2 linked regions of the Lonchura striata genome follow. Each later gene encodes a partner of the first gene's protein in a complex. Links are inferred from orthologs where the notes say so. Each region holds a gene or a part of one and is shown on either strand. Other genes may lie near its edges.

Region 1 (15,892 bases):
CAGAGTAGTGCTCACCCTGAAATGGTATCAGGGAGCACAGAAGAGCAAGAGGATCCTTTAGTCTCTTTTTATGGGTCCAGGAACTGCTCTGTGTAGGCAATTTCCTGTTATCCAAACCCACGTTTCCAGGCTCAAGAGGCAGGGGGAGACTCCCTGCTTTTGAGAACACCAGCAGTCCCAAGTCTGTGGCCCAGTCCTTGCTTTTGATATGGTTGTTGTGTTGTGCTAAAGGAGTAATTTCCAAACCCAGGCTTTTCCCAACAGGGAGCACTCACAGTGCTGCTCCTGCTATTTCCCAATTCTTGCTGCACCGGCTCAGAGCCAGAGCCAAATCAATCCCAGCAGGGCCAAAGGCATAAATTCCTTGAGGCAGCACAAGTCCATCAGCTCCCAACACACAGCAGCAGGGATGGCAGGCACTTCATTATCATTAGCACTGCTCTGTCATTCCCAGAAAAATAAATATTACATGCCAGCACCAAGTTAAAACAAGGGTCTGAAGTAATACTCAATCATCAGCCAAAAACTCAGGGGCTGGCTGCAGTGGAGGACTGGTGATTTTCCAGCTTTTGGCCTGTCCTGGGAACAAAAGTGAAGCACTCACCGTGGTTTCCTGGCCCAGGCGCTGCTTGAGCCAAACCTTCACCTGATCCAGAGTGAGGTTAATCCCAACCAGGCCAAGCTTCCCACGTCTCTTAATGAGCTGATCTGGCTTCACCACTAAACGCTGCAGAGGTTGGGCAAGAGATTTCAAGGGAGAAGGATTAGACATTGACTTTGGTCAAGCGGTTCTCTGCAGACAGTGAAAACTTAAATCAGTAATGCACAGCACCCATCCTTGCAAAATTCCTTTAATCTTAGCAAATCAAGCTCCTGATACAATATGCCTGCAAATTTGTGTTTTCTTACGCTGTACTTTGAGAAAAGCTGCCTTATTCCACTCAGCTGTAAGCAGACATCAGAGGCTGAGGTGACAGCTTGTTCTTCTTTTGATGAAAAAGCCCAATAAAAGTCATGACAGACACAGACAGTTGCTCACAAAAAAAAACCCCAAACAGCTCCTGCTGTCACTACACTTTGCTTATGAGACTGGCTAGGGTCAGGGTCATGCACATTTCAGTAACTGGTCATGGCTCTTTATAATAAACCCATGGATAGCTGCTCCTGGGTTCCACACATCTCTAGCTTGCAAATATCTTTTTAAATAACCGAACTAGAACTGAGTGTCATTCTCCTGTACCACGGATACATCCTGGAACTTCAGCAACTTATGAGTCAGAACACACCGTGCTGCAGTACAGGACACTGAGCATGGTCCTGCTGCTGGACCCTGAAGCCCTTTCCAGCCTTACAGAACCTGCCTTAAAGGCCCAAAAGCAACCTTGCTCCCTTCTGGCTTCCTGCAAGGCTTGCTGATCTCTTCCTGCAGTTCATTCAGGCACTTGAGTAAGGAACATTTAATTAGTGCAGGGCTTCTATCAGGCAGTCAGTCAAGGACTATGAGACATTCATGTTCTCCAGCCAATGACTTAATATAATTAACCACTGGAAAAGAGCCATCTTGGACAGCTAATAAAAAAGAGCTCTGGGTATGTTTTCCTCTAGAGAAAGTATGAGGATATGAGACACAGAGATAAATGATTTTGCACTGAAAAAATTTTAAGAAGGAAGTTTTCCCTGACATCTTGCTTGGATTCGAGAAAACTAAGCAGTGTCCTAACTTTACATTAAAGCCAGACATGGAGAGAGGAGAACAAAGATTATTTCAGCGAGCAAGGCTTTGAGAATAGGAACTGACACTTCTGTCTGAATCAACCTTCAAACTTCTGTGCAGTTATGAGCAACTGGTGCACAGCTATCTCTGCTCCTGTATTTCACAGTCTTAAATCAGCCCCCCACGAAGTGATCCTGAGCCTTGAAGCAAGGCTTGTTTCTTCATCAGGGTGGGAGTGACTGTGACAGAGCAGCAGCAGCAACCAGTCCTTCAGGAAGGGTCTGGAGCAGTGCTCAGGTGCTCCAGGAAGGCAAATCCTGCTGTCCCTGCCCTTACCTCGCTCAGGAGCCACGGGTGGTCCTGGGTGAGCCGTGCCCAGTCCGTGGCGGGGGTGACCCGGGCATACTTGAAGCGGTTCTGGATGGCAGAGGACGTGCAGATGTACTTGTACAAAAACTCCTTCCCCGTCTGCTCAGAGATGGCTTTGGCTGACATGGCTACCTAGTCTGGATGGGGAAAAAAACAAAAATCCATCAGGAACAGAGCCCTGCTCCGGCAAAGAACTCTGCATCACTCAGCTCAACACAAACCCAAAGCAAAGCAAAGTCTCCCCATTACGTGTGAGATCATAAAACTCATCTGATAAGCAAGAACTACTCATATTGCTTAAAACTCCTACCCTGTTCCCCTGCCATGCACACTATTTTCATCCAGCCCTGTCTGCAGGGAAAGGCAGAATCCCCGCAGCTTGTCCCAGCCACCACCAAGCCTTTCCCAAATCCAGAGCTTGGAGCATCCCCTCCCATCCAGGGCAGTGCTGAGCTCTCTCCAATGTTGCAGCACCCCAGGATTGCTCCTGGTGCAACCCACCTACCCCTTTTCCTGGTGCATTTCCAGGGAGGGATCCTCTCCCTCCTACTCACTTCTCTAAGGCATCCCATATTCCCAGTCAAGCCTGACTGTGGGCATGTCAGCAATCCCCATCCCTTTTCTAAAGGGAAAAGAAAACACTGCCAGGATTACCAAAACTAGAATAGGTTTGCATCACTGTTTTTTCTTGTTTCAGAACCAGCTTTCTTGGAAAGAGTTTTACGTCTAACAGAATAAGATGTTCAAGACAACAATAAAAAAGATTAAGTTTAGACAGTTTGTTTTGTTTTTTGAGTTTTTTTTTAAGAAAAATTCCTAATTCTGTCCCTTTCTATGGACAGTTTTCTTCTCTTTTCAGGTATATTCCAAACTGATATAAGCAAATGATTTCTGGCCTCAAGAGTGTAACTAATTCTTTTTGATATGCAACAAAAGAGTCATAGGTGTCAAAGATCCATTTATTTTTAGCTGCCATAAACACTTCTTTAAAAGAATACTTCATCCCAGTGACCCTGTCTGCATGTGTCACACATCAGAACTGAGTGCTGTGATCAGCCAGCAGGTTTGGTGTGTCTGGGGGGTCAGACTGTTGTCAGGGAGGCTCAAGCAGCAGCTCCTCCTGCATTTTGAGTGACCAGGGTCGTGTCACTGTTTCCCAAGCACTGTCAGTGTGGCAGGAAGCAAAAGCACTCTTGGGATAGATTCAGGGAGAGCTGCTCCAACACAAAAAAGAGGAGTTCAGATTCCATCTGAGCACCTGGACTACCTGCCCTCACAAAACACATACCCCACAGAGAGAAACAGTTAACAAATTCCAGCTATTTCTTGTGCTGCCTTCTGGGTAATAACCATTAGTAATCAGCTGGGCTATTCATCCTATAAGCAAACACAGAATAGGCAGAGATTAACTTTCCATAATTCGAAATAAAGAACCTTTCTACCTAGAGCAGAAAGGAGGAGGTGGGTCCATCCCAACTCCTACTCCATAGTAGGAGGGAGGTTGCATTCCCTGAACTTCCAACACCAAACAGGTTAGACTAAATGCTATTACTGAAAGCTGATAACTGTACTTAAGGACCAGCAGACAACTGTGCCACTGCCATATTTTCAAATGCAATTCCAGGGTTGAAAATCACAAAGGCAAAGCTACAGCAAAGGCAAAAAAACAAAGAACAGCAAGCCCACTTTCAAAGAGTTCTGATGTAAAACCTGAACAGGATTGCAGCACAGCTTCCAATTAAATCCCATTTCAAAACAGGACCGGGCAATGTTTCTGCAGCACCCCATCTTTCATCAGACTCAACCCCCACCCTGCCCCTAGAAACACTTGCCCCTAGCTGTCTGCTGAAACAGCCCCTGTCAGTTATTAGCCTGTTGGCAAAGCCAAGGTGGCCTGACAAGAGAGGAGCTCTTGTGAGCAGCCAGAGGACACCAAACCCCAAACCAACCACCCAGCCTGACCCTGCAGGCACACACAGACACACTCCCACAAGCACCACACCACTGCCCAGCCTCACAGCTGCACACACACGTCTCATCTGTGCTGCAGAGCCTAAAACTTCCCACTGGAATTTGGACTTTAAGCAGAGCTATTTCTGAGAGCAAACCTGCTCCCACTATATATACCTGCAGCCACCATTTGTTCTGCCTGAGAGGGAGCTGCAATATTCCGGCTTCAAGCCCCTCGAAATCCATCAACTCCACAATCTGCTCAGGGAAACAGTGTCACATCTCACTGCAGCAGAAGCAGATGGGTAAACGAAAATGGCAAACATATTTCTTTAAGAAATCTAAGTATTTGTCATTTCTCCAGGGTGTCACGGATCCTCTGAACAGCACTGCAGAACTTCAATCCACAATTAGAAATTAAACCACTCAGGCAGATGCTGGTTATGCCAACAAATACCCTGCAACTGCAGGACACTGGAGCCAGAGTGTCTCAGGTCTTATTAAGAATAGTCCTGCAAAAAACCTCAGTGGGAACGAGTGACATGCATGAGATTCCTTAAACTTGAGGGATACAAAGCAGAGCTGCTCCCCTCTCAGAACCATTTCTGGTCTTTTCTATGTTGCTCCATTCTGCTGCTCTCCTGGTTTCCCTCACAACTTCATCACCTCATTTTTGCACTAACACTACTGGGGTAAAGAAAGGAAACTACAAAATTCTTACAATAGCAGTAGATGAAAAATAACATCCTTGTGTCATGGCAACAGAACAGCAGGAATTTTGCTGTTCTGACCTTATCTGCATTAGCAAGTCTTTAATCACACCCCTCACTCAGTTTTTCCACTGTTCTAACCCTGCCTTTCTCGTGGGACAGAGAGCACAAAGCAATTGCTTCAGTCTGCTGAACTGTTAAACTAAGAGATCAGCAGGAAAATAATCCATAGGGCATCAGCAATTCCTGGCTGTGTGTGTGTGTGCTCTTGCAGGGCCATCAGAGCAGGTCCATTAACTCACTGCATCTGTTCTGCTAACACCAAGCAGGGGCACAGACTCATGTCACTACAGAGGCAGAGGAACTCAATCTCCTCAGTTTTCCAGGAATGAGACGGGGTCAAACTCTCATCTGGCAGAATTAATCTTATTTTCAGTCATGTTTAGCACCTGCAGTGCTGGGGAGAGGAGTGGCTGCACCTCTGAAGATAAACCCGGGGAAAATGTCCCTTTCTCTGCCCAAATCACAAGCTGTGGGATAACAACATTCTCTTCCACTGCTGTGTTCAGCATTCATTAGCCAAGACTGATCTGCAATTTTCTCAGCACTTCGGGCCCCAGACCTTGCACCCACCACACACAAGGTTAGATTCATGTCAGCAGGACAAGTACCACAGATTTTGATAAATTATTTGTGTTCATTTAGTGAGGCTCCAACCCAAAAAGCTTCCCTGCAACACCTCAGAGACCTTTCTCTCATCATCCATACCCACCAATTCAAAAAGAGCTGAATTCCAACCTTTGCTAGCAAGTAAGAGACATGGATTAGATCATATTTTCAGGAGCTCAGCAGCACTTATTCCCTCAAAACATCACCTATCAAACACATGCAAATAAGTTGATGTTTGGGGAAAGTTTACTGAGTGTTTTGACAGAGAAAATCAGCAGGATGGTGGCAAGCAGGCAAGAGTTGAGCTGGATGTTGTGTTTGCTGTGAAACAACTGATACATCTGTCCCAATATACCAGCAACCAGCTGAAGGGTGTATGCAACAAATCCAAAGGAAACACGGATGGAGAAACAGGGAGAAACAGGGAGGCACTCCTGACACAGAACTCAGGTGAAGTCTCCCTGACTCCCAGGAGATCAGTGATGTGGCACTGCTCAGTGTGACACAGTCTGCTCTGCAAGGGGAGAAAAAGTATTACAGACATTGATTTAGTTTGTTTTCCTTCTAACCAGAAGAGGTGCAATTCAGCTTCACCAATGTGCATTCACAAATAATGTGGTGCTCACACATGGAATTCTCCGAGATCTGGATTGGCACTGTGCTCCAATTGTACCTGAACAACACTTCAGACCAGGAGGAAAGGACTCCCTCTCCAGTGAAGACTTGACACCCACTCTCCCAAGAACTGTGTCAACAAACCCACACCATAAACAGCCTCTCCCCTCCATTCTGGGTAATTTATTAACACAGTTCAAGCTAAGCCAGTATTTTCAGCCCATGGCAGCATGAAAAGTTACATCAGCTTCCACCTGGCAGACCCATGTGTTTCGTCAGAGGATGGTGAGGGCTCGGTGTTCAGCCAACGTGAGGTCATGGTCCCCCAGCTGTGGTTGGGAAATGCTGTGTGGGGTGATACAAACAGGTGCTGCATGCCCAGCTCCGGGGGAGGCTCCCTGCACACACAGAATCTCTGAGAGAAACACGGCAGCCAGGGAGGAGCACAGACCATGGACCTGTGGCTAACGGAGAGCAGCACACAGGCTCCCCACACCTGGTGGGCACCCAGTGCTACAAGGAGGGAATTTAGGAATGCTGTCATTAAAAATTATCTTCTGCAGCTTTGAGGGCTCCTTAACAAGCTTACTCCTTAAATCACTTGAACTGTGTATGGCAGTAAAGCGCTCCCTGGCCACCATGGCTGGGCAGGACTTCCAACTGTGGCTGCCCTTGCTTGGGAACCACTTCAGGCAGTGCTGGAACCGTGGGAAGAGTCCTGATGCCTGGAGAGAGCTGCAGAGTCTCATATGCAGGAAACCCAACAGGGTTTGGGCAGCAGCACTGGACAGTACCAGCAGAGCTGATACTCTGAGCTCCAAACCCAGGCAGGAAGCAGAAAGAGTACAGACATCAGAAAGAGTACAGACACCTACAGACAGGAGAGCCAGGGTGCAGCTCAGCTTTCAGCCTGCAGACAACAAACTGCTCAACAGAGAGAAAGGAGAGTCTGTAGAGCAGGATGAGAATTTCGAAAGCAGCAGGGCAAACAGGAGGTGTTTACAAGCAGCAAACAGGACAGCTGGAACACAGCCGACTGTGCTGGGAAGGCAGCGACACGCGGGCTGCGCACACCGCTGCTCGCACGGGAACGGCGCGGCCCCCGCGCGGGGCTGCTCCTCCGGGACGGCCACGAAGGGATTTTCCGCGTGGCAAGGGAGGCAAGTCCGAGGCCCGCTTGGACCAGGGCGAAAAACGCGTCAAGCCGGCCCCTTCCCCAGCCCCGTGGTAATCTCTGCGCTGTCACCACCGCGCACCGTCCCCGGCCACCGGGACCGAGCGGGGCAGCAGCTCCGCCGCCGGGAGCCGCGGGAGGAGCGGCGGCGGCGCCCGCAAGGTCAGGGGCGGCGGCGGGAGAGAGGGGCTCCCTCCGGGCAGCACCGGGCCGGCCGCTGCCGCGGGCACACCCGCTCCGTCAGCGGCGCTGCGGCCGCTCCCGGGGCTCGCCCGCCCCGCCGCGAGCTACGGGAGCCGGGGCCGGCCCGAGCCGGCGCGGCTCCCGCCTCAGACGCGTGGGCGCCGCGGCAGCGCCGGCAGAGGCCCCGCCACGTGCCGGGCGGAGCGCGGCGCTGCCGCCGCCGCAGCACTCACCTCACAGCCCCGCTCGGCCGCTCCCGCCGCGCTCCGCTGCCGCTCCGGCCCCGCTCGCGCCGCCGCCGCCGCCTTTTGTTCGCGGAGCGCGGCCTCCCCGGCCCATCGGGCTACGGCCGCCGCCGCCGCCCATTGGCCGCCGCCGCTACCACGTGCGCGTTGCCTGAGCGCCCGCCGCGCTCCCATTGGCCGCCGCCGGTGGGGTGCGCCCGCGTAGCCTTGTGGGAGTCGTAGTTCCGGCACCCTCGCCCCGCCCCCGGCGGACCCGCGGCCGTGACCCCCCACGCCGGACCCGCCGCCGGTGACGTCACAGAACACGATGACGTCAACGCGCCCACCGGTACCGGCGGCGGGAACGGGGCTCCTTCCCCAGCGCCGGGACATGCCGGGAAACCTCCCACGGGCGGTGCCTCGTGGTACCCACGCGGGAGTGGCGGCATTGCCACAGCCGGGTCGCCGGTACCGCAGCGAGGCGAGACCGCCGTGATGCTCACGCACCGTCCCGCAGCACCGGGAGCGTCCTGCCCCTGCGCTGCTCCGTTTCCTGACAGGCTCTCGGGGCAGCCGCCACGGCTCTCCGGTTCCCGGGAGCGGCCGCCCACGCTCGCTTTTCCCCGGGGCTCCCAGCCCGTGACTAACGCGGTCATCAGCGGGAGCACCCGGCGCGGCCAACAGGCGGCCTTGTCCCTGTGGAAAACGCCCAATCACTTGTTCTAAAATTTTAAAAGTTTAAAAGTAACAAAATAGTTATACAAAGAGTAATAAAATTTAGAGCAGTAATAATTTGGACAGTTAGAGTTAGGACAATAAAGGACAATAAAAAGCAAAGAAACTCTGCCACAGAAACATGCCTTGCTAACAAATAATTGACCCTTAAAAGTAATAGCCTGTTGCATATTCATATATCTCATACATTATTCAAAATTCTTTTCAAAGGATTTCTTCTGCTTAGTTTCGACTCCCTCCTTCATATTGTAAACCAATTGTGTTGGTCCTTTGAAGTCTGAGTCTTCTTGATAAGGAGGCAATAATTCTTTTCTGGAGACCTTAGTGTCTTGTTGCTGTTATCTCTTAATTTCTTCATTATCTTATCCATTCCTTGAGCTACTTGCAAAAATTATCTTACATCGCCTAGTTTCTATTTTAATATTATGCTATAGCTTAAAACCATATTTAAAGGAGATTAATACAGCATGACTTTCCAACATAGCACATATAGTATTAATTTTGAGATTTGCGAATCATCTAATATGCATTTTTCAGTCCCGACGTGGTGGCTGTGGTGTCCCCACGCCGATGTCACCCACCGAGCTGGGCACAGCCCTGCCGCAGCCCTCACCAACACAGCTCGGGGACGGCGGTGCCAGCGGGGGAAAATCCCCCGGCAAACGTTACCGGGCGCTCGATCCCGCCGCAATTCCGCGCCCGGCTCCCCGGGGCCGGGGTGTGGCAGCCCGGCCGCCACTCCGGAGCTCGGCAGTGCGTGTCTCCCCACCCTGGCGTGACCCCCGGCCCGCCTCCCGGCCCGGTGGCGGCCGGCCAGCGGCGCCGGGCCAGGGCCGGGCTCGGGCGGTGCCGAGCGCGGCGGGAGCCGGGCCGAGCCGGGCGGTGCCGTTCAATGCCGCCGGTTCCGAGCGGGACCGGTGCCCTCCCCCCGCCCTTCCTCTGAGCCGCTTGGCAGGAACAAAGTGTTTCGAGCACAAATCTTGGCGCAGAGTCTGAGCCAGCGCCAAAATGAAGTGGGGACCGGAGCGCTGATGGGAGCGAAGCGGCAGAATTTGCCGTTCGGCTTTTATCCGGCCGGGATTACCGCCCGCAGCGGTGAAACCGGGGCCAGCGGCGAGCACCAAACCAGCACCGAATAAACGACGGGAGGGAGGCGGTGGCTGCCCTCCGGTTGCCCTGCGAACGGCTGGGGCCGAGGAACCGGCTCTGCCCGGTGGCACCGCGGCTGTGCGGAGCGGCCGCGCTCCCGCCCCTCCCGGTCGTGCCGGTGGAAGAGCAGAACCCCACGGGCACGGAGACGGGTCGGGTCAGAGGCACAGTGAGCGCCGGGAGCGGGGCCGGGGCCGCCGGGGCCGCCGGCAGCCCACGCGGGCACCGGCCGGTTCGTCACTCCCGGGGCGGGGCGAGCACCGGGAGCGGGCGGTGCCCGGTACGCGTTGCTCGGCAACGGCGGCGCCGCGCAGCCATGGCGGGCGAGGAGCTGCCCGTGGTCTCCTTCGGGAGCCTCATGACCGAGGGCACGACCCTGGCCCGGCGCGGCCAGCACGACAAAGCTCTGGGCTGCTTCAATGACGTGAGGGCGCCGCGGGCACCGGGGGCAGCGGCGGGGATGCGGTTCGGTTCAGGCGGGGGGACCCGCAAGAGGCGGGGACACCGAGGGACGTGTCCCCGGGAGGGCTCGGCACGGGGGGTGACCCTGCACGGGGCAGTGCAGGGACAGGGCAGCGCCTGCAGCGCAAAAACGAGAGAAAACTCTTCAGTAAAATCCTTGTGGTTTTATCCTCATCCATCATCAAGATCCACGTGGGAACCGTGGCATCGAATACCTACGCTTGTGTGTTTGTGGCGTTGAGGCAGCACAGGTGACATTTCCGTGTGTGGTGACATGTCCAGCACTGGTGACGTGTCTGTGTCTGTGGTTCCAGGCACTGAAGCTGAGAGCAGGAGACAAGCACTGCCTTATCACCCGCTCCAAGTGCTTTCTGAAACTTGGAGACACCGAAAACTCCTTGAAAGATGCTGAAGCCTCGCTCCAAATTGACAATACGTTCTCTGAGGTAACCAGCTGAAGGGGGAGGAGGGGGATGGCCGAGAGCTGGCCTGGATCTGTGAGACCCTGCAGGGTCTGGGGCAGAGCTGTGAGGAAACTCCAGTCACTCCTGAGATTTCTGCTGCTCTCAGAGCTGTTGAGGTGCTCGGGCACCTCCAGGTCTGGCCTTTAACAGAGGCAAGTTGTTATACGCGTGCCTGACAGGAGTTACTTGAGATCCAGCAAAATTTCCCCTCATTTTATCAATTTCTTTCCCCAAATGTGGTTTTAGGGGCTTTACCAGAAAGCAGAGACGCTGTACACCATGGGGGACTTTGAGTTCGCGCTGGTGTTTTACCACCGAGGCCGAAGGCTCCGCCCCGACCTGCAGAAGTTCCAGCTGGGCATCAACAAGGCTGAGGAGGCCATTATCAACTGCATTGGGAGTAAGAAGTGTCGCTTTCTGACCCCCATGAGCCTGGACAATGCTGTTCAGGGCACGGCTGATGGCAAATCAGCTCTGCAAGTGACCCAAGAGCCCCAGAGCAGAGCCTCTCTCTGCTTCTGGCCTCGTGTTCTTTGTGGCAGACAAATCCAGGCAGCCCCACAAAGAGCCAGCCCTGCTCTTTTTTCCTTTTGTTCTTTCTTTCTCCCCTGAACACCTGTTCACACACAGGACCTGATCCCTTGAGTTGTGTAGGTAAATTCCCACACTCCAGTTTCCAAAATCATCATGGAAACTTTCCAGAGAATACGGACCAGAGCAGCTCATCTCATCCATGAGAGATTAGATGAGAGCAGCTCAGTACATGAGGGGAGCTGAGAGGGAAGTTGGAGACACTATTTACAAGGGCCTGGAGTGCCAGGACAAAGGGGAATGGCTTCCCTCTGCCAGAGGGCAGAGATGGATGAGATGTTGGGGAGGAATTCTCCCCTGTGAAGGTGGGGAGGCCCTGGCAGAGGTTGCCCAGAGAAGCTGTGGCTGCCCCATCCCTGGAAGTGTCCAGGGCCAGGCTGGAAGGGCTTGGAGCACCCTGGGATAGTGGAAGATGTCCCTGCCCATGGGAGGTGCAATTCTAGGGGATGGAACTGCATGAGCTCTAAAGTCCCTTCCTATCTAAACCATTCTGGGATTTCATGATTCTATGATCTACCTCCAGCACTAATTACAGAATCCATTTTGAGACCTTTATCCCTGTATTCCAAGCTTGGAATGCAATATGCCACGCTACCTCAGACTGGCCTCCTGAAATCCTGACTCTCCTCCAGTTTTCATTGCAAAAGAGCAGTGAAACTGTTGACTCTTGCAACCAGCTCTGCTTTCACCACTCCTGGCTCAGATCACTGAGCAGGTCCTGGAGAGACAAGAAAGGCCAAGGACCTCGTGGGCTTTAAAACAAACAGAAAACTCTTTTCACTTAGTTTTTCTCTCAGCCGTGCCAGCAGGCATGGACAGGACGTGTCCGACTGTGGGGCACGGACACACCTCACCTGGGGCTGCCACTGCTGACATGTGAGTGGAACACGTGTGCAGGGCTCCTCTGGGGCTGCCAAACCTGTGGGGTGGGTTGGAGCCTGTCCCTGCCCAGCACCTGGCACGCCCCTCTCACACCCTACACAGATTCCCAGGTAGGCCAGGGCCTCCCTCTCCAAAATTTCAAAACTTCAGCCCTCCCCCAGTGCCAGGGTTTAACACGTGCCAGTGGCACCAGAGCCTGCAGCACTTTCATATAGGATAGTTATTTAAAAAACAGGGAAGCTTTCCAAATCTGGCTTGCTTTCCTCCATTCCTGCTGCTTCCTGAGCTTAGCACAATGCTGAGATATTATCACAGCTCCAGCTGAAATCTTCCCAGCTCAATATCCCGAGGCAAGAGCTCTAACCACCTTTGGATCCCCTAGGCTGCAGGCACAAAAATGAATTAAAAAAGTAGAAAACTCTTCTTTTCAATCAGTCAGTAGCTGTGAGATGCAGGGAAACATAAAAACAAGCCAGCGTGGATCTGGATGTTTGAACAGTTGGGAAATGCACACACATGAACAGGGTACATCCCCAGGCTGCTTCCCTGGCTCTGCCTCCCCTGCATGGATGGGAACACCTGCCCCTGTGACCTGCCTGTGTTTGTGCTGCTGGTCTGGGCCCCAGGGCTGCCAAAGGGAATTCTGCAGCAGCTCAGAAGCTCTGTCCTTCCCTCAGACCAAACAAAGAACTGTTCCTCTCTCTTCCTTCCCAGGGTGCATGGTGGTACTGGGGTCAACTGAAAACACAATGGGCCTTTTGCCCTAATGAGTGCACAAACCTTTAAAATACCTTTCCTTCCATCTCATGCTCCAGCTGTGATCCCCTAGAAGAACCTGCATCCTTCTCCTTCAGTTTCCATGCAGGATGTACCCTGTCTGTAGGAATATTGCAACAGCAGCCCCCGGTGCTGTGTGAATTGAAACCCCAAGAGGAGCTGGTGGACAAGCTGCATTCCCTGCTCCCAGAACACACCAACACCCCCTATTCCATGGGAAAGGATTAGAAAACGTTGGGGTGAAACGGAACGTTTTGGGCTTGGCACCTTTTTTGGGCATTTTACTGGCAGCACTAACACTGACCCCTCTGTGTCTGCAGATCCATCCTCGGTGAAGCTGGAGGGCAAGGAGGAGCTGTGCTTTGTGAGCAGGCAGGCAGAGGTACAGCACGGGGCTCTTGCTGGACAACTTCTGGAGTTGTTGGAATGCTGAAATGGGCACCAGAGGAGTGACAGTCCCTGCAGGGACACGGCTGTGGGAGCAGGGGGCCTGCTGAAGGGTCTCTTGAGCTTTAAAACACACTGGCCTGTCATGAGAGTATTTGTCACCTGCTTCTAATGCAGGTCTGGCTCAAGGCACCCAGAATTTAAAGGGGAAGGCAGAAGGGCAGGAAGAGCCACCATGCAGGAACAAAACCTGGCATTTCTCCTCCAGCCCATCTCTGGGGTATGCCAGCCACCCATCTAATGAGTAACACCCCAGAGGTCAAAGAGTGCACAGTGAGCTCCAGTATTGACTTTGGGTTTACCTGATGTTTAAAGGTCACAGTTTTCATAATGGACACTTTCTTTATTGCTTCACTTTTGGATGCTCCGTTGCAGTAGTGTCTTATTCCTCTGAGAAGCCAGAACTAGTTCTTACCCTTTCTGTAATACCCTTGTGGTCCCCAGGGAGCACAACTGGCTGCAGAATTTCAGTTGCTCATGGCCAAAGCAGCTGGTGAGACACTTTCTGCTTTTATTTTAAAAAGATGTCTTATATGGAGTATAAGCAGAATTCTCATTCCAGTGTTCCCCACTGAAGTCCCCCATCTCCTTTTGTTTTTTTTTCTAGCTGCAGAGCAAAAAAGCCAGCCAGAAACAGCAAAACAAACCAAAGGATCAAAAGGATCAAAAACAGACAAAGAAGAAGAGTCCAAAAACAGAGCAACAGCTTCTGGGACAGCTTTATGCTGACAAGGCATACCTGGAGAAATTGCTCAAGGATGAAGGTGTTTCTCCTTCTCAGCAGATTCTATTTTTTTTCACCCCTTTTTTTTCTTCTTTATTTATTTTCTTCTTTTAAATCCATGTGACTCTTCGTTAGTTGTACCAGAGCTCACATAGCACATGGTGCTCACAGTGGTGGGGACACAGATATCTGCTCATGGGGCTGTGACTCTTCTGTGCCTTTGTTATAAATGCTGTTAAGGTCAAGATGCAGGAATGGGACAACAGTCTTATTTTAGAAAAAGGCACAAAGGTGATGCTCCTTAATTTGTATTTCTAGGGCACTTTTCACCCTGAAATAAAGAAGTGATTAAGATTTGGTTTACTCACAGGTTTTACAGTGTTGCCAGCACTAATTATACATGTGGGCGGTCTGGTTTGCAGGTAAAAGCCCTCTCAGTTTCCATCTGCCAGCCTGATCCACAGCACTGCTCAAAATGCTCTGTCAATACAGATGTGCCATACAGGTGTTCTGTCCCAGAGGACAGGTGCTCAGCACAGCTGGCCCCACTTACTGGGCCCCGTCCTGGCTTTAATCAGCAGATATGAGGCTGGAACACCAGCTCAGCTCACTGAACTACAAGAGTAACAGATTTTTTTTTTAGCTGCCCCATCATCTCAACTCTGGGGAGCACGGGACACTTTCATTTCCAGGACTGACTGTGTCAGAACAGAAAAACGTTCCAAATGAATTCCCCACTGAGCTGCAGCTCAGCTCTGTTGATTCTCACTTGGGTTCTACCTTCTCTTATTTCCAGACTTGATGCAGAGCAGCACAAGGCAGGGGATGAAAGTCATGGACCTGGTTTTGAGTGGCATCTCCTACCTGAACCAGCGGCGGGATTTCTGGCAGCAGCAGAAGCCGATTTACGCGCGGGTGTACGAGCGCAAGCTCCTGCGGCAGCGCCGGGCGCGCGGCAGGAAGGAGAAACCAGCCGACATTGCCAGGGCCATCGCAAAGGATATGGAGGACATCGAGCTCTGTAGGTTCCTGGCTGCAAAAGCTGAGTGCCTCCCACTGCTCTGGAGAGCTCGAGCTATTCCTGAGCTCTGCCTGAGGGTTTGACACTTCACCAGGTCTCAATTCCCAAGTATCACAGAATCCCGAGAGGGTTTGGGTTGGTGTCAGAATCTGAGGTATTGATGATTCCAAGATTGTAGAAAGTCTCTGTCTTTCTGCCCTGTTGCCATAGAAGAAACCATAATTCGTCTGTGTTGGTTTTCAAAGTTGTTTATTCTGGTTTATCTCTAACATGTTCTGCTGCCCTGCCCAGCTCTGTCCTGCAGGGCAGCGTGTGGGGCTCTGCCCTCAGTGGGATGTTACAAACATTAAATACCAGAAACTCCCTGTGCTATATTTACAATATTATACACCAGAAACTACCTGTGCTATATTTACAATAACGTGCCAATATCTGTCGCCTAGGTTGAACAGTGTGTCCCCAGCCTAAACCCAGTCCCCAGTTTCTGGTATATGTTACAAACATTATATACCACAAACTACCTGTGCTATGTTTACAATAACGTGCCAATGTAACATCCCTCAGTGGGATGTTACAGACATTATACACCAGAAACTCCCTGGGCTGGATTTACAAGAACGTGCCAATATCTGTCACCTACGTTGGACAGTGTGTCCCCAGCCTGAACCAACAGAAAAATGCCAAGACCACAGTGAGACATGGAGGGCATGAAGAAGGAGAAAAAGGACAAGGCACACCCAATTTCCTCCATCTTGTCCCCTTTGGACCCCTCATCTAGAATCCTAAAATTTTACTTTTGCACCTGTGCCACATCTAATTATTACTTCTATCAAACACTCAGAGCTTGTGATTCTTCCTGTAAGATTGAAAACTCTTTTCCATGGACAGAGATCACAGCCAATGTCTCTGGGGGCTCTGTCCAGGGGGGTTCCTGACCCTCTGTCCTGACCTCTGGACAGAGCCAGAGGGAAGCCCTGGGCTCCCACAGGTTGGAAGGAACCTTGAAGTTCATCCCGTTCCATCCCTCCTACC
Region 2 (15,686 bases), on another chromosome or scaffold:
GCATTGCACAGGTTACTTGACTCCTGATATTTCTGTCCCCTCAGCACAACGTGTGGATCACTGTTATTTTGCCAATACAGTACCAATACAGCTTCATTGTGAGGATCAGAATAATAAAGAAGGGAACACATGATGTGTCTGACAGTGCAGATTGAACCTAGCAGCCTTTGAGTTTCATGGGGGCAGGTTGGAATTTCGGAGCTCTTTAAGGGGACATTTTAGGTAGACCTAGAGACCAGGTGTGGAATTGAAAAACAGGAATGAGAGGAGATTTTTATTCATTCATGTGGTGTGCTTGGCCTAACAAAATAAGAGTGTTTCTATGAAGATGTGTATAGTAATTTGATAAAATTATTGCTGACACCAGCAAGGTCCAGAATACAGACTAGAGACACCCGTATGTTGAAGAAGGGCCAGGAGAAGTTGTCTTGAAGTTTTGTTTCAGGTGATTTTTAGAACTAAGACAAAACCACAGTTTTTCTGGTAGGGTACCCTGGTTTTCTAAAGTGCTCTAGCAAGAAGACTGTGATAGAAAAGCAAAAATACCATAACTGGTGACCTTCAAGATAAATGGCAGTCTCTTAAAGCCAAATAACTTGAACATTAAATGTGTTAACATTAACACTGTATTTTGCTAAATAATCTTCTGTAAAATCAGGTGTATTACAGCTTTAGTTAACGTTATAGCTATTTTTTATTTTCTGTGGGTTTTGTTAAAATTATAATGTCAGGCAGAGGAGAGCTTAAAAAATACTGCTCAGGAATGACCCTCCTGTTATTGTTTCTGTTTGGGTTTGTTTACAGAATTGGAGGAAAGAACTGGAAAAACACAGGGAGAAATTAATGGGTGGAAATGAGAGCTCCTCCAAAAAAAAAGAGGTAAGTTGTTTTCAGTTGTATACATTCTGTGTTTGGAATTGGGATTTATCATCAATGCTGCCAACACAGAATTTTGTGAATACAATTTAAAAGCCAGCATCAAAGTTCATAAACCTAAATGCATGCCAAAAGAAAATGATGCTAAAGTAACATTTATTTTGTTCTATTTTTAAGAAAAAGAAAAAGGAAAAGAAGAAATCTAATAGGGTGAGCAAAATTTTCAGTTTTCTGAGCTTTTTGCTTTGGGGTTGTTCCTGTTTGTCATTTAAGTTGTCCTGGAAAGAGAAAGTATAGCTGTAATTTTGATTTTAGATGATAAATTAACTTTTGTTTAGAAAGGGTTTGCATATATTTGATACAGGGGAAATTAAAGGTAGGAAAAGAGCATTAAATAGATATTATTAAAAGAAAAATGTTAGAAGTGGTTTAGAAGTTTATTTAAGAAAAATCTCTGTAAGACCAGCTTCTCAGAAGTAAAATTGTATTGGTTATGCTTTGAAAATGAAGACATTTTAAAGGGAGTGTTTGAATAGGCTTTTGAGTATTTGCCAGACAAAATGCTGCATCTCACAAGCTTCACTTTTTGTTGTATTTGGTCAAGTTGTCTTCATCTTCCTCTTCTTCATCAAGCTCTGATTCTTCCAGCAGTTCATCTGATTCAGAAGATGAGGTAAGAGCTAACCTACTTGAACCTATCATGTTTTGTCCATGACATCTATTTAATACATATTTTGATAATATGTTATAGAATATTTTGAGGGGCTAATTTGGATAAATGCATTTAGTTTTTATGCATTTGATATATATAATAAAGTCATGAATTTTAGACATATGTATCCAATCAGTAGTTTTTGTGCGAACACTACAGATTTTGGCACCCTGTCTTTTAAACTGGATCCATTTTAACACTGAACTGCTTTCCGAACAGAATCCCCTATCAAATCATAAAAATGCAAAAATACCATTTCTACTTTCTAGCAAAAATCTTTGTTACAGGTGATCAGATTCTACAGCATACATCTAAATAATAAACACAATCTAGAGAATCTGGATTTTTCACCAGCTTGCATTTTTTCAATGCAAAAGAGTTATGAAGGTCCTCCACTAAAAAAATCAATTGTAGTGTACTTTATTCCTCAGGAGAACATTGTAACATGTAGGAATTTGATGTTTCCTTTTCTTTACGTTTAATGTAAATCTAATTCTAGTGAGAATAAATTCAAGTTTGTGTTTTTCTTTCTTTTTCTACAATATTTATGGATAGGATAAAAAGCAAGGGAAGAAAAGAAGGAAGAAGAAGTATCGCTCCTCACGGAAATCTTCAGCAAGCACAGCTTCAGAATCTGAGTCAGACAGCAAGGTAAATACACAGATGTGTTGCTCTTGGCAAGTTTTCTTGGTTGGTATTATAAAACCATAAAGATTTCTGACTTTAACATATTCATATGGATTTTCATCTTCCACTGTATTCTCACAGGGCCTGAACTGCGCTTGTGTCTTCCACATGAAGTGTGGAATCTGCCTCTACTGGCCACATGCCTAGTGGAAGTAATTGGAAAACGAGCGCACTTTATTCCAGCAATTTGTAGTAATTTTTCTGAATTCAGACACATGCAGCTTTTTTGTTGCTCAAATATTTAGTTTTTATACTTCATTAACACTGAAAATGTCTTCTGAGTATGCAATTTAATTGAACACCATATCTGAAAATGCAGGTATTGCTGGATTGTAGTGGCCAGAACATTGCCTTTCTAAATATCTGAATATTTTCCTGTTGGAAAACTGAGCCTTTCCCAAATGCTTATTAAATTGAAGTTGTCTTTTTCCTTTTCTGAAGTATAGCAATGTAGATACATGGTCTTACTGAATGAACAAAAAAGTGAAGATACACAAAGCAGCTTGTTCTGTTAGCACTTTTCTGTCTTACAGTGTATAGTTACCGTACTTCTTGCTTAAATATTAATAATACAGTGAGTTTTTAAGATTCTCTGTGTAGACTTTATTGCAGGCTTCCACTGGAATACCTAATTTGGTGGGATATAAATTGTAATGAATGACTGTTTGCAGACATCTATGAATATGTGCTAATGGGAGGTTAAAAACTTCCGCTACATAAATGGACCCAGAGATACCCTTACTGCAAAAAACTCGGGGAAAATACCTGTGCAACCTGGTCTGATCAGCAGAGATGAACATGGGTAAAGAAAAAAGATTCCCAGCTGTTACATGTTACATGTGGTTACAGCTGTGATAGCTGGTAGTCTTCCCATAGGCTAAGTGTCCTGCAAGGATGCTGTTACCTCATTCCATACAGACCTTTCCATGCTGCTGGATCAGGAGATTAGCAGCTGCATCAAAATTACAGCTTTTTATATTGCTCTTGTCAACTTCAAGGTAGAAAGAACAAATATTGAAGAATTACTTTCAACAGACATAAAAAGACTGTTGGCCAGACTGCTTTGGAGATTTCTTCCTTTTTAATGAAATTATTTTGTTGTGATTTGTTTTCCTTTCTGTTTAGGATAGCACAAAAAAGAAGAGGTCAAAGGAAGACTGTGAAAAAGAGAAGGTATTTTTATTCTTGAAATCCTTTGATGAGAACTGCATGTTGCATACATAATAGATATTTCTTTTTTTAATATTGAATACCTCACCTTACATCTGTGGAAATTTTCTGTGCAAACCCACACAGTCATAAGGTATTCAGTGAACCCAGTTTGAAGTAGAAGTTTAGTTGGATTCAGCACCTAGTTTAGTAATTATTGTAGTGAAAACCAATGGATCTGTTCTTGTTACATAGGTAAATTAAAGATCAGCTGCATCCGTAGTGTTTTGAGGTTTACCTTTAGCTGTCAGATTGAGCTAAAAATGTGTGCGATGATATTTTCAGTGGCACACCTGGTAGGGTATTGACTTGTTGCTGTAAATGAAGAAACATAAGCAGAGGATCTCTTCATCTAAATGTAGTCATAGATAGTATACTTATGACAGCTTTGAATAATTGCAGAGAAAAAGGTATTAGCTTAAGAAAAATGACCTTATTCTGCCATTTCTCTAAGCATGAAAATATTCTCTCCTGCCCACCACCACACCATTTTGTACACTCATCCATTATCTTTAACATAAACAATCGAATTGACTTCAATTGTAGTTATTCATACACTGTGGATAAACTAAAAATGCTTGCAGAGTCCACCCTAGTCTTTCTGTCCAGTTACCTTTCTTATCATGTTGGCCTCTCCTGCTCTGGTCAATAGTATTGACTTTGATGTACAAATTCTCCATTACCTAAAGCAAATGTACTCATTTTTCTCCCTTTGCTCCTGCTTCTATTTTAGTGTCCATTTCCCATCTCATCCTTTTGAATGGCTTCTCTTTGAAGACCAAGTATCTACCATGGTCCCTTACTGTAGCACTGCTTTCACACATCCTCTGAAAGCAAAGGACACTTGAGAACTAGGGGTCTTTCTTCCCCTACCTGCAGATCCCCCTGTGTGCCAGATGGGCTGCATCCTGTGTACTTGCTCATGAGTTCTTTTCAGAAGTTTCTGGTCTTAGAAACTGAGTGAAAGTACCTTCAGTCTTAGGAGCACGTAGTAGTCTTGTCCTGAGCAAAGGAAGTGCAGGCAGCAGAAAAGTAGCTCATCAGAACAATCTCACACAGCATCAGAATTTTAAAAATAATTTCTTTTAAATGCACTGGAATGAAATATGATGTGTTGAAAGTACAGCTCGCAGGGACAGCTTGTCCTGGTTCAACACAAATACAGAGGGAACTTTTTCTTTCATGAACAAAGCAAGAGTCAGAAGCTAAAGTGTTTGTATGTATGTATTGAGACATCTTCAGTTACTAGTTACTTAAAAGTGGTGAAATGTTTTATTTTCAAATGCTTACTGCTCCATGTGTTATTATTTAAAATAAGAGACTGTTAGTATTTAGACAGTTCCTGTATCTTGGTAACAAGAAAAAGGAATATACAGAAAATTATTATTTTCACTAAAAGTTGATTTTAACAGTTACGGTAATTTGATAATGATGATGGAATTCGTTTAATGTCAATAAAATTTTAAAATATTTCACAACTTAAAAGTGATATTTCAATCTTCAATTTTAAGCAGAAGTTTTATAAAACGTGAAAGGTCTGTCTTTACTTACAAATATATTATTTTGTGTAGGAAGGTAAAAATCACCACAGGAAAAGGAAGAAAGCAGATCGTGGTGATGGACCTTTATCATCAGAATCTGTATCTGAATCAGATCAGGCAGAGGAGGTCAGTGTGAATCCTCAGTTTCCGATGTTACAGTGCTTGTAGCTTGTACTGATTCGTGAGCGAATCAGTGAACTAGTTCAGATTTAATACATTGTTGAAACTGTTCTGCACTGTACAGTTGAAGAGTGCAGTGCACTCAAAGTTGTTTGTATTTTTCCTTTTAAAATAAAAGTTTAAGGATTGTTTAGTCTAGCTTCTATCACCTACAAGTAATTTCGAATGAATTTTCTTGAGAATCAACTTTTTATGAATACTACATTTGCTTTTATTTTCTTTAGGTGCAAGCAAAAAAGAAGAAAAGCAATGAGGAAAAGGAGAAAACAGCAAGTATCCCTCTTACTCATACTGTAGTTTTAGGATATAAATACTCTGTACTTGGTTAATTTCTAGTTTAACGGTTTTCACAGATACAAATGTTTCATAGCATTAGTCTACTGTTACATCTAAATTAAAAATTTCTCTATTTACTTGCTGAAGTCACTTTTTCAATTGTTGAATTAAAGAAGAATCTATCACTCTTTTACCTGTATGTGATTTGAGATTTTTACAACTTTAACACTTACTGTAGGATATATTTTATTTTGTATCGATGTCGTAGAAGTACTAATACCTGTGTGGTATCAAGTAGGGGAGCAGTTTGCTACACAGACAGACATCAGGGCTGTTTCTTCATTAGTGTTGTGTGTAATTCCTTGCTAAGCCTTCTCTGCCATCATGGAAAGGGCCTTGGGACAAAATTGCTGCAACATCTATGCCATTATAACTCTTTTCCCAACCAGATAAAAAGCTGCCAGGAACCTACTACTTTTCTCAGTATTTTTTTTTTTGTATCTGTTGGTCAGACTGGAAGGAAGGTTCAGCAGTGATTTATATGGAATTCAGATTTACCGCATGTACCTGAGGTTCCTCAATCAGTGGGATCCTAAATGCCCACTTTAGATGTTTCTGTATCTGTCTCCCCTGTCCGCAGCAGTGTTCCTTATCAGGCACATGAGGTGGGGCAAAGGGAAGGTCTACATTAGTCCCCTGAAAATACAGGCAGAGAAGTATCAGTGATACTCAGTACACATTTTTCTATGGAACTTGCTTTTTTTTTTCTCAGACTCATGGGAACCATTTGCCATTACATTTCTAGTGATTGCTTATGGTCTTTTTCATAAAAGATTTGTATGTGTAAGGAATATGTATAAAACAAAGCTTTAATACTGATTGTTTCATTTACGCATTGCCACATCTATATGAGAATTTCATTTGAAATTCTGCTTTCAAAAAGACAATATTGCATCTTTTAGCTTCTTTATTACAGTGATCAGCGTACTACCTTTAGGACTGAATCCAGTAGGGTCAATTTGAGTGTGTTTATATTTCCAGTTGAGATCATAATTCTTTTATTTTAAACAAGGTACAAGTGATAGTCTAGCCAAGTGCAGTTGAGCTATATCATTTTACACAGTGAATTTAAGTACTTACTTTAAAATATATAAACATCCTAGTTATTCCCAAATCTGTCACTGCTGGTCAACACTTCCTTATTACTTTCTCAGTAATCTATAATGCTCTGAAAATAATTTAAAATATTAGGAAATGTAATAGTGACAGTGATCAGAAGTGTAAAATAGCCATACCATGGCTGAGATTTAAATTTGAATTAAAGACTGCTCATAATAGCCCAAATTGTTGGGTAAAGTATTTCTTTTTGTGATTTCTCAATAGGCTTCTGTAGAAATCTCTTTGAAATGTCTTTCAAAAGATACCCATTCTTGGTTCTCATTTTGCATTAGCAGAATATAACTGATGGCAATTGTATTATAGAAAAACTTCTTTTTTTTTTAGGATAAAACAAAAAAGAGAAAGAAGCACAAGAAACATGGTAAAAAGAAGAAAAAGAAGACTGCTGGTTCCAATTCAGATTCAGAATAAATATTTTAAAACAACCGGAGCCTATCAACAGAAGTGCAATGACTAAAGGAAACTTAAACTGTGAAATGACAGCAAACTTTACCAAACTGCATGAGTTTTCCTGTGTTTTAAAACTATTCCTAATCCTTCAGTAGCCAGCCAGATGCAGCTGTGCTGGGAAAGACCATTGTTACTGCCTGCTGCTTAATACATGGAGGTACAACTCTGATAAGATTCCAGTAAGCAGTGTTAGATGTTTGAGATGAGGTGGTAGGCCAGCTGAGGTGTAAAATATTGGAAAATAGGAGTTAAACTTTTTAGATAGTAAAAATAGTCTTTTAAAGCATTAGTAAAAGGTTTTATTTGTAAATCAGGACAAATTAAATCCCAAGTTCATCCTGCAGGTTAATATTATGCATAAACTACTACAAGCTGGTGTCTACTAATGGAAAATGAACGATAATATTTAAAAGGCTGCCTAGTTGAAATGTGGATCATCTGCCCCATTATTATCTCTATGCTTATGAGAAAGAGAATGCTACCATTTTGGCTACCTGAATAGGGTGCCTTTGCCTTTGATTCTTGCAAATCTTTGCTACTTTCAATCCATGCATCTCTGCATTCCTGGGAAGCTAGAGCTATTGTCAGCAGACTTTTCTGAATGAGCAGTTTTGAGCTTCCAAGCATGTGCTTCTGCATTAAGCAAGAGCAATGACATTTTGCAGTACAACTGACATTCAAAACCTGAAGATTTTACCTCTGCTTTTTCAAAATAGTGATAGACCTTTGCTAGTAAATATCTGTATTTCATTCAATGTAATTTTGGTTTAATTGAAAACTTCTTGCAAACACTGGTAGCTTTCTTTGCATTATCTTTAGAATTGTTTTGCATGATTTGTACCATTTTTAAATTAACAAAATGCAGGTAATCATTTGTTGTAACCAGTTTTATGAATTACATTTCACATGCAGATTTTCATGTATGTAGTTATAGTTAAGTTCATTGCTGTGTTTAAGTGCACACTTGCTGAAGTTATTTAGCATGTAAAAAGCAGGGTTTTGATACCTTAACAGCTTCATATTGAAGCTGATTTTACTCTGATCAAGTTCAGTGGCAGATCTGTTACGTGATGCGTCTTGTTAGATAAAAAACTACTGCCAGAATCTCATTAAGATACTGTTTAAACAGTTTGTATTTATATTTTTGTACTTGAGGGCTACAGAATGTTGACCTAACTCATAAAGCTGTTTTACTTTACTTTAGTTGCTTTAGATAACTGAAAAGAAGCTTTTTTTAAATTAAATGTTGCCACAAGAAAACATGAGCAACCATTTGATTTTAGTTTACATTAAATTCTCACTACATCTTCCATTGAAATATTAATTGCTGGGCCTTCTGTTAGCCTTTAACAAATGCCCATCCATCCCAGGTGTAGTCAAATATAGATTGTATTTTTGATCTACCCCTCTTTTCCATTGCACAGGTGCTAACTTAGAACTTACCTCTGTTGCATATGGATGTTTCAAATGTGTTGCCAAGAATTTCAGGACTTTGAAGACATTGATTATTAGTCTGCAAACAATAACTAAAATCTGTGGGAAAAGGTGATTTCATATTGTGTACAGAGAAATTGTCTTCAAGTTCTTGGGAGAATACAACCATTGAGTTGCAGCAATGTGCATCTAAACAATAGTAATATCTTCATCAACTATTTTATACTCTTGGGCTTGATGTTACCCATTCTAGACACTCTTGTCAGTGAGGTTAAAATAAAGGTGATTTGCAGTGAACAGAGGGGTTTGGTTTGGGGTTTGTACGTAGTTTTGTTGGGGTTGTTTTCTTTTTAAGTTGTGGTATTGCAGTTTTGGTAAAAGAACCTGTAATGAACCGTAGCATAAATGCTCTGTCCTGTGTAATACCTTATTTGACTTTTACGCAACCACCTGCCACAGAAAGAAATAAAAATGGAAATGAGACCCAGTCTTCCAAATACCTAAGCCGGTATGTAATTTTAATTGTGTGACTGTAACTATCTGTTCTGCTCAGCTGTAGGCTTGGAGTGCGGCTGTCATGCTTGGGAAGGGGTGTGGCCGCTTAAGGGGCTTATGGGCTTTGTCAGTTGCCAACAAAGCTGCTTTAGTACTGAAAGGGAACTGCTTCAGTTTGCAATGCGTTAACAAATAGGTGGAGTCTGCTCCTGCGTGCCCTTTTTCCTGAAGGAAAGGTGGAGGCTGGTCTCAGCCTTTCAGCTTTCCCGATGTGCCCACGTCGAGGTCGTGAGACAGTGATGGGGGTTTGGGGTGGCACCTACACCCATGTTCCAAGTTTCAGCAGAGGGACAAAGTAGAAAATAGGCAATGTTGGAATAAGAGTGGTTTAATATATTCTTGCCTTCTGACAGTAGATGAACAAGCACTGTTGTATGTTGTAACTTTTAGCTCTTTTTTCCCCACAAACGTTTTTAGATACTTAAAATGCAATTATTTTATTTTTGACTGCTGCAGTTTTTTTGAATGCGTATTAAGACTCGATCTCTGTTCTACCTGCGTGTTTCTGTGTGACCCGCCCGTGCGGCCGAGCGGCACCGCCCGGCCGCGGCCGTCCCCCCGCGTTGCCAGGGCAGCGGCAGCGGCTCCCGGCCGCCATGAGCAGGAAGGGGGCAAAGCTCCTGGTGGACTCGCTGACCCGATCCGCCAAGCACTGTGAGTCCCCCCGGGCTGCAGGAGCCGCCCCGCCTTGTTCCCGTGCCCATCCTGGGTGGCTCTGCTCGTCCCCCGTGGGAGGCACTCCACCGGCGCTCCCTTAGGAACAGCGTCTGGGGCCGGGGCGGGGGGTGATTATTGCTATCGTGGTCCTGGCGTGTTCCTGTGCCTGCCTCGTGTTTGACCAGCTTAACTTACAACCTGTGTTTGTGTTTGGGCCGGGCAGTTACCAAAAGCGAAGTGGAATGTCTGGTCAAGCTCTTCGACACGCTGGTGGCCAAGGCCAGCAGCCAGTTTGCTGGGGCCGGCTTCGACCGCACCGTGTTCCGAGACACGCTGTACAACGCCTTCGGCATGACGGATGACGTGGTGCTGGACCGAGGTGAGCGGGCACGCGGCTCTGGGCGCCGTGGGAGCGGTCGGGATGACGCTGCCGACCCGACGAGCGTGTCCGTACCAAACAGCATCGTCACCTCCCGGCCGGGACGGCAAAGGAGGAGTAATCCTCGGGAGCTGTTGAGAAAATGGCACATTTTCTTTCTTTATGCGTCACGGTTTTCCCTTAGTTCAGGAGAGCTCACGCTCTGGCTCGGGCAGAGCAGGCAGAGGCCCTTGGCTGCCCTGTGGCTGTTTCTGTCGCAGCCTCTGTAGTGTCGTGACCGAAGGGGGCAGCGTCACTTTCTTTTCTCCGGTGGTTTCCCCGGGAGCTGCGGTCGCTGCTGGGCGACAGCTGTAGCTCAGGGCGGGGAGTCCCAGGAAGGCATTCTGATACAGTGGGTAACGCTGGGAATAGAGGCTTTGTGAGCAGCATTGAAGGGCCTGGGCAGGTAGTACTAGGAAGTGAGAGTAATGAGACAAATCACCCCGTGAAAATACAGTGATTTCACAGATTGTAACAAGGGGCATGTTTGCAGTCACTGTGAAAGCTGAAGGAATGATCTCGGATGTAGCGATGTCTAGAGGAGTATGCAGAGCAGGCATGAGTCTGCCCTTCTTTCAGTCTTGGGCTGCCGAGAGCCACCCCTTGGTTCAACTTTCTCCATGTCTCTAGCAAGAGAGCTACTTACATGCCATAAAATAAAAACTTGTTGCAATTTTATGCAGCAAGTCAAGTGTGTCTTGGAAGATACCTCACATAACCTTACACATTCTTAAAAATTACTTGAATGCTTACACACAAAGGGGCTGATTACAGTTCACAGAAGCAAACCTATTGTCTTCAAAGTCAAAAATGCTTGGCTCTGCATGGGGAGATGTTCCTTCAGCCAATTTACTAATTAATATTCTAAAATACAATTTATTACAGATGCTGGTGGATGCTTTGAACTCCTTGGTTTTGAATTACTGTATTACAGGCTGTATTAATAGTGAAGCTGTGAAAGTTGCTTAGGGAAGGGAGAAGAAAAATATATTGTTATATGACAGAAAAAAGGTTATTTTTCTTTGTAGATTTAATACATATAATTTCTAGGATTATTTTGTCCAAGATTTTCCAAGACAAAACATAGTTATTTAAATCTTAATATGTATGCAGAATTATCCCTTATTTTAAAGGATATTGGTTTATTTGCTTTCCATCTGCATGGAAGCATAGTTCCTGTAGTTGTTAAGTCAGGAAGGCAACAGATTGGACAAATCTTACCAGGCAGAATTCTGGAGTGGAAGATCAGTAAACTGAGGGGCAGAATCCCTTTCATTGTTACATCTTAGAGTCAAGAACGGTAATCTTACCTTGGTGAAAGCAGATAAGCATCTTAAGAAGAAAGATAATTTATAATTTTACTGAGTTTAAGAAAACATTGGGTTTTTTTGTGTTTCCTTATCATATAAATTTGAAATGTGTCCAATACACTTCTTAGTGTTCAGCATTTTTGATAAAGACAACACTGGCTTCATCACTGTGGTGGAATGGGTGGAAGGCTTAGCAGTGTTACTTCGGGGGACCCTGGAAGAGAAGATGAAATGTAAGATTGATCTGTATGCTAATATTTAGTAGTAATGATTGAATTAATAACAACACATTGCTTTTGTTGTAATTTAGTAGTTACTCTTATAAAGTATTTGGTAATTGAAAAGTTTTCTTCTGTATCGTTTAATGCAATGGAACTGAGTTCTGAAATGGCTTCTCTGAGACAGTTTTTTTCTGTGTTAACTACTGTTACCACAGCCACCACCTTTTTTTGTTGCTTACAAAATCTTGCATTTAAACTGAAGTTTATTCTACAGCATACACTTCTGGAAAAAATACATGTTTTTGTATTCACACACAAAATTATAAAGAAGCAGATGAATCTCTAGTGTGCTTTTGGCTAATTAACAGTCTCAAGCCAAGCAAGACCAGAGCCAACATTCATTTACTGGCACACTAGCTCCAGCAGTTCTTCAGATTGGAAGCAGAGATGGAAAAACTGTAAGATGGTAATGAGAACCTCCACAGTAATGACAGAGAAAGATGGAAGAGAAAAAATAGCAAGAACTCTAGAATTTTAAGCAGCAGGGAAAAAAATAGGGCAAGTGGAGTGAAGAAAAACAATAGAAAAATGAGAATGACAGCATGTTGTTTCCATAGTTCCTAGGTTACAGCATTAGCCATTCCTGCTGCATTAGATAAATTCATCTGGAAAGTGGTCAGGGGTGTCACAGCATTAGGATGTGTGCCCAGGTTGTAATTCAGTGTGTCAGTACAACCACAAACAGTAAAACATGCATTCCTGCTGTAAGCACTATAGAATATACTAGTGCATAGTGATGTAGTGCTGTCTGTCACAAGTGTTTGCCAGGAGTGTTTCAGAATATGTAATAAATTTGGCTCAGTTGATAATGGGCAGCTCTGTCTATAGGTAATTTTCTGTCTATAGGTCTACAGTTTGAATGGTACGTGATTATAGTTTGTAATCAACTTCCTATTTATTTGTATTTCAAAAGACTGTTTTGCTGTTTATGACCTGAATGGTGATGGATACATTTCAAAAGAGGAAATGTTTCAAATGCTGAAACACAGCCTTCTCATACAACCAGCAAATGAAGAGCCTGATGAGGGAGTTAAGGACTTGGTAGAGATAGCACTAAAGAAAATGGCAAGTACTTGTTGTGATACTTGAGGGTCTTTCAAAGATTCACTAACCAATACTTAAAACCTTTCTATGAAGTAACAAAATAAGGTATCTTATTTTATTATATTATTTACAGAAGGATTCTGCAAGTCTCCTGAGGAAAGCCAGAAATATATGAGATCTAATGAGTCCCAGTCCAGTATTCTCATATGAAATCATTAATTTAGTATGTGAATGTACTATAAACTTTATGTATAAACTAGCATGTATGTATGGCCTATACATCTATGCATGCCCAGTCAAAGCAAGAGCCCAGTCAGAAGTGGAAAACTTAGAAGTGTAAGCTGCATTTATTCCATCAGTACCAGCATCTGCAGTAGCTTAATTTTAAAGTATATTTGTGTTTTATAAATGTAATGTCTTTATCCTATTTATTTGTATGTATTCTATTAGAATAGTAAACTCAAGGTTATTAATGTGAAGCTTGTCTTAGAGTGCTTAATCTAGAATATCAGAGCATCTGGGGATAGTCTGTCAGTACTTTAATCAAATCAAGATATATACTCTCTTTCATGGTGGTCAAAAATTTTCACTTCAAACCAGGTTTTGCATCCCAACTCCTTTTTTATTTAAGACCATCTTTTCAATTTTTCAATCCCACCCTTTTTGCCTTAGAGGCAAGTCACAAATCTTTTCTGAGCATAAACTGATGACCCCCAATTTGCAAATCTAACTAAAAATAGAATCCATGTTCTTTGAACACCTGTTAAACAAAACTACAAGTAATAATCCTTTGCTGAAGTGGTCCCTTCCTTTTGCAGGACTATGATCACGATGGCAAGCTTTCTTTTACGGACTTTGAACAAGCAGTCAGAGATGAAAACCTTCTCTTAGAAGCCTTTGGACCATGTTTGCCAGACATAAAGGTACATTAACCTCGAGTTCAAAAAAAAACTGCATAAGCCAATTCCTTACAGACACTTGCATCAATCCTGTGAATGTCAGGGTATCTTAGGCCAATGTGGAGTTCATCCTCTCAGTGCCAGTTCTGCTATCCAAAGGTGGTCCCTGAGCACTCCCACTCCAGGGTTGTTACAGCACACTGCTGCAGGTATTCATCTCATCACTAAGGGAAATTTCAGTCCTGTACATTGTCATCCCAGTCTCTAGCATTCCTGTTTTCATCCAGTTTATCTCATTCTGCAGCTGGGCCTTCTTCTGGCCCTTAATGCCAGATCATTCCTTGGGACACACCCCGACTGCTGAGCAGTTAAAATTTTAATTTCTCCTTCAACTATAACTTTGAATATTCTAGCTGGTCTGCTAGTGATGATACCATTAATGCTATGGATTTACCTTTTCTAAGCTAAAAAGCGAGAGTCAGTCTTCACTGCATACACATTTCAGTTCAGTACCTTTTCTGACTAAATAGAAATCCTTTAGTTAACTGAAAATTAACTTTTTTTTTTTTTTTTTTTTTTTTTTTTTTTTTTTTTAACAGAGCAGTATGTCATTTGAACAGAAAATTTTCCGGAAAGTTCCTAAATAGAAACTCCAAGTTGTAACTCCACTGATGAATACTGTTAAAAGGGGTCTTCATCTTCACCACTCTTTGTGATATAGTAAAAACAGTCATCTTTCAAGTTGCTCCTAAGCTTCAATCTTCCTTTGCTGTTAAAGCTATTGAATAAATTAATTTACTTCTGTAACTCTACCTAAACAGAGTTCTTCTGTGAGTTATGTAAAATATATTACAATATGAGGTACACAGGGCAACACTGCAACAATAATACAGTATATTTGGTTTCTTCATTCCAAGTAACAAAATGACACAGTTTTAACAGGTAATCACTGGGAAATAGAGTATAAGAAAGTTTTATTTTTTACATTAAAAAATACATATTTTAAATATATTCTTTACAAAAGGACTGTTAAAAGATACTGCCAGCAGTATCTATATTCTTCTTCTCTGCTTTACAACTGGTTTGGCTGAGCTGCTCTCTGGTTTTTCCACAGACGTTGAAACAGAATATGCTACCTAAATTGGAGGGGAAAAGATATTAGCAACCTGTAACCATTACTTTTTTTATGCTCATTTTAGAGAAAGGCCACATATCCAAGGTTTGGGTATTCGGAAGGATTTATTACTATCATCACTTGTAATACACTTGCATTGAGTTTTCCTGCTGACTAGAGGAAGAAAGTAGCATCAAAGTCAGCATTAAACACAACAGAAGTGAAACTTAGGAGATTCTGCCCTACCATTTTTGTATTTAACTACACAAACTGATTTCAGATAGTCAGTGATATAATATTATGTATGTCATTTCCCTTCTTCCTAACAGGTGTTTTAAAGCAAGGTTTAATGTGCTTTATAAACTCAGGTATTTCAGGAAACAAAGGGAAAGCAAAAACATGTATTTTGACACATATTTTAGAAAGGTATTTAATATAAAGAGTGCTTGTTTATGAGATATGCACTTTCAAATCGATCTAGTTAGTCAAGGGAGCTTTTTCATATCTTAATGTAAATTAAATGTTTGACCTGCTGATTAATATCCTCAATAAAAGGATATATAGTTTAACACATGCTTCTCAGCATGGAATTAGCGATTCTGTAGTGCTTTTAATGGCATAAGAAGTGTTGGAGCAAAACAACATTGAACTCTGACTTCCATTATTTTCCTTTCAGAAATGAGATACAAGTAGCACACTGGAGTCAGCAGGACTACCTACAAAATTATCATGCCTTCACATGTGGAGGAAATAAAAGTAGTTTACTGAAAATCACGTAAGAACATGCACTGACATTTACACTTTCTCAAGTGTAGTGTAAGAGGTCTGGAGTAGAATTGCCTGCAATATTCTAGATTGTGGAAA

Evidence for each region.
Region 2: ODAD4 (region 1) and CLXN share a complex: the UniProt entries of both Homo sapiens proteins name them as parts of the outer dynein arm-docking complex. The link is inferred for Lonchura striata from reciprocal best matches to the Homo sapiens genes ODAD4 and CLXN.

Annotation. Positions count from the first base shown.
Region 1 is NC_134627.1:6,549,683-6,565,574, reverse strand, and holds the start of ODAD4 (outer dynein arm-docking complex subunit 4), read left to right. Parts: upstream 1-9,720; 5' UTR 9,721-9,808; coding exon 9,809-9,916; intron 9,917-10,268; coding exon 10,269-10,400; intron 10,401-10,664; coding exon 10,665-10,818; intron 10,819-12,988; coding exon 12,989-13,050; intron 13,051-13,722; coding exon 13,723-13,879; intron 13,880-14,635; coding exon 14,636-14,860; intron 14,861-15,892. Other genes in the region: ACLY (ATP-citrate synthase), read right to left, coding at 605-727, 2,051-2,209. UniProt on the Homo sapiens protein: Component of the outer dynein arm-docking complex (ODA-DC) that mediates outer dynein arms (ODA) binding onto the doublet microtubule. Plays an essential role for the assembly of ODA-DC and for the docking of ODA in ciliary axoneme.
Region 2 is NC_134603.1:133,575,942-133,591,627, forward strand, and holds CLXN (calaxin), read left to right. Parts: upstream 1-9,680; 5' UTR 9,681-9,695; coding exon 9,696-9,753; intron 9,754-9,979; coding exon 9,980-10,135; intron 10,136-11,612; coding exon 11,613-11,717; intron 11,718-12,678; coding exon 12,679-12,830; intron 12,831-13,627; coding exon 13,628-13,732; intron 13,733-14,307; coding exon 14,308-14,355; 3' UTR 14,356-14,526; downstream 14,527-15,686. Other genes in the region: protein FAM133B, read left to right, coding at 805-879, 1,054-1,086, 1,481-1,549, 2,144-2,239, 3,401-3,448, 5,056-5,151, 5,430-5,474, 6,985-7,071; RBM48 (RNA-binding protein 48), read right to left, coding at 14,761-14,844. UniProt on the Homo sapiens protein: Component of the outer dynein arm-docking complex (ODA-DC) that mediates outer dynein arms (ODA) binding onto the doublet microtubule. Seems to regulate the assembly of both ODAs and their axonemal docking complex onto ciliary microtubules.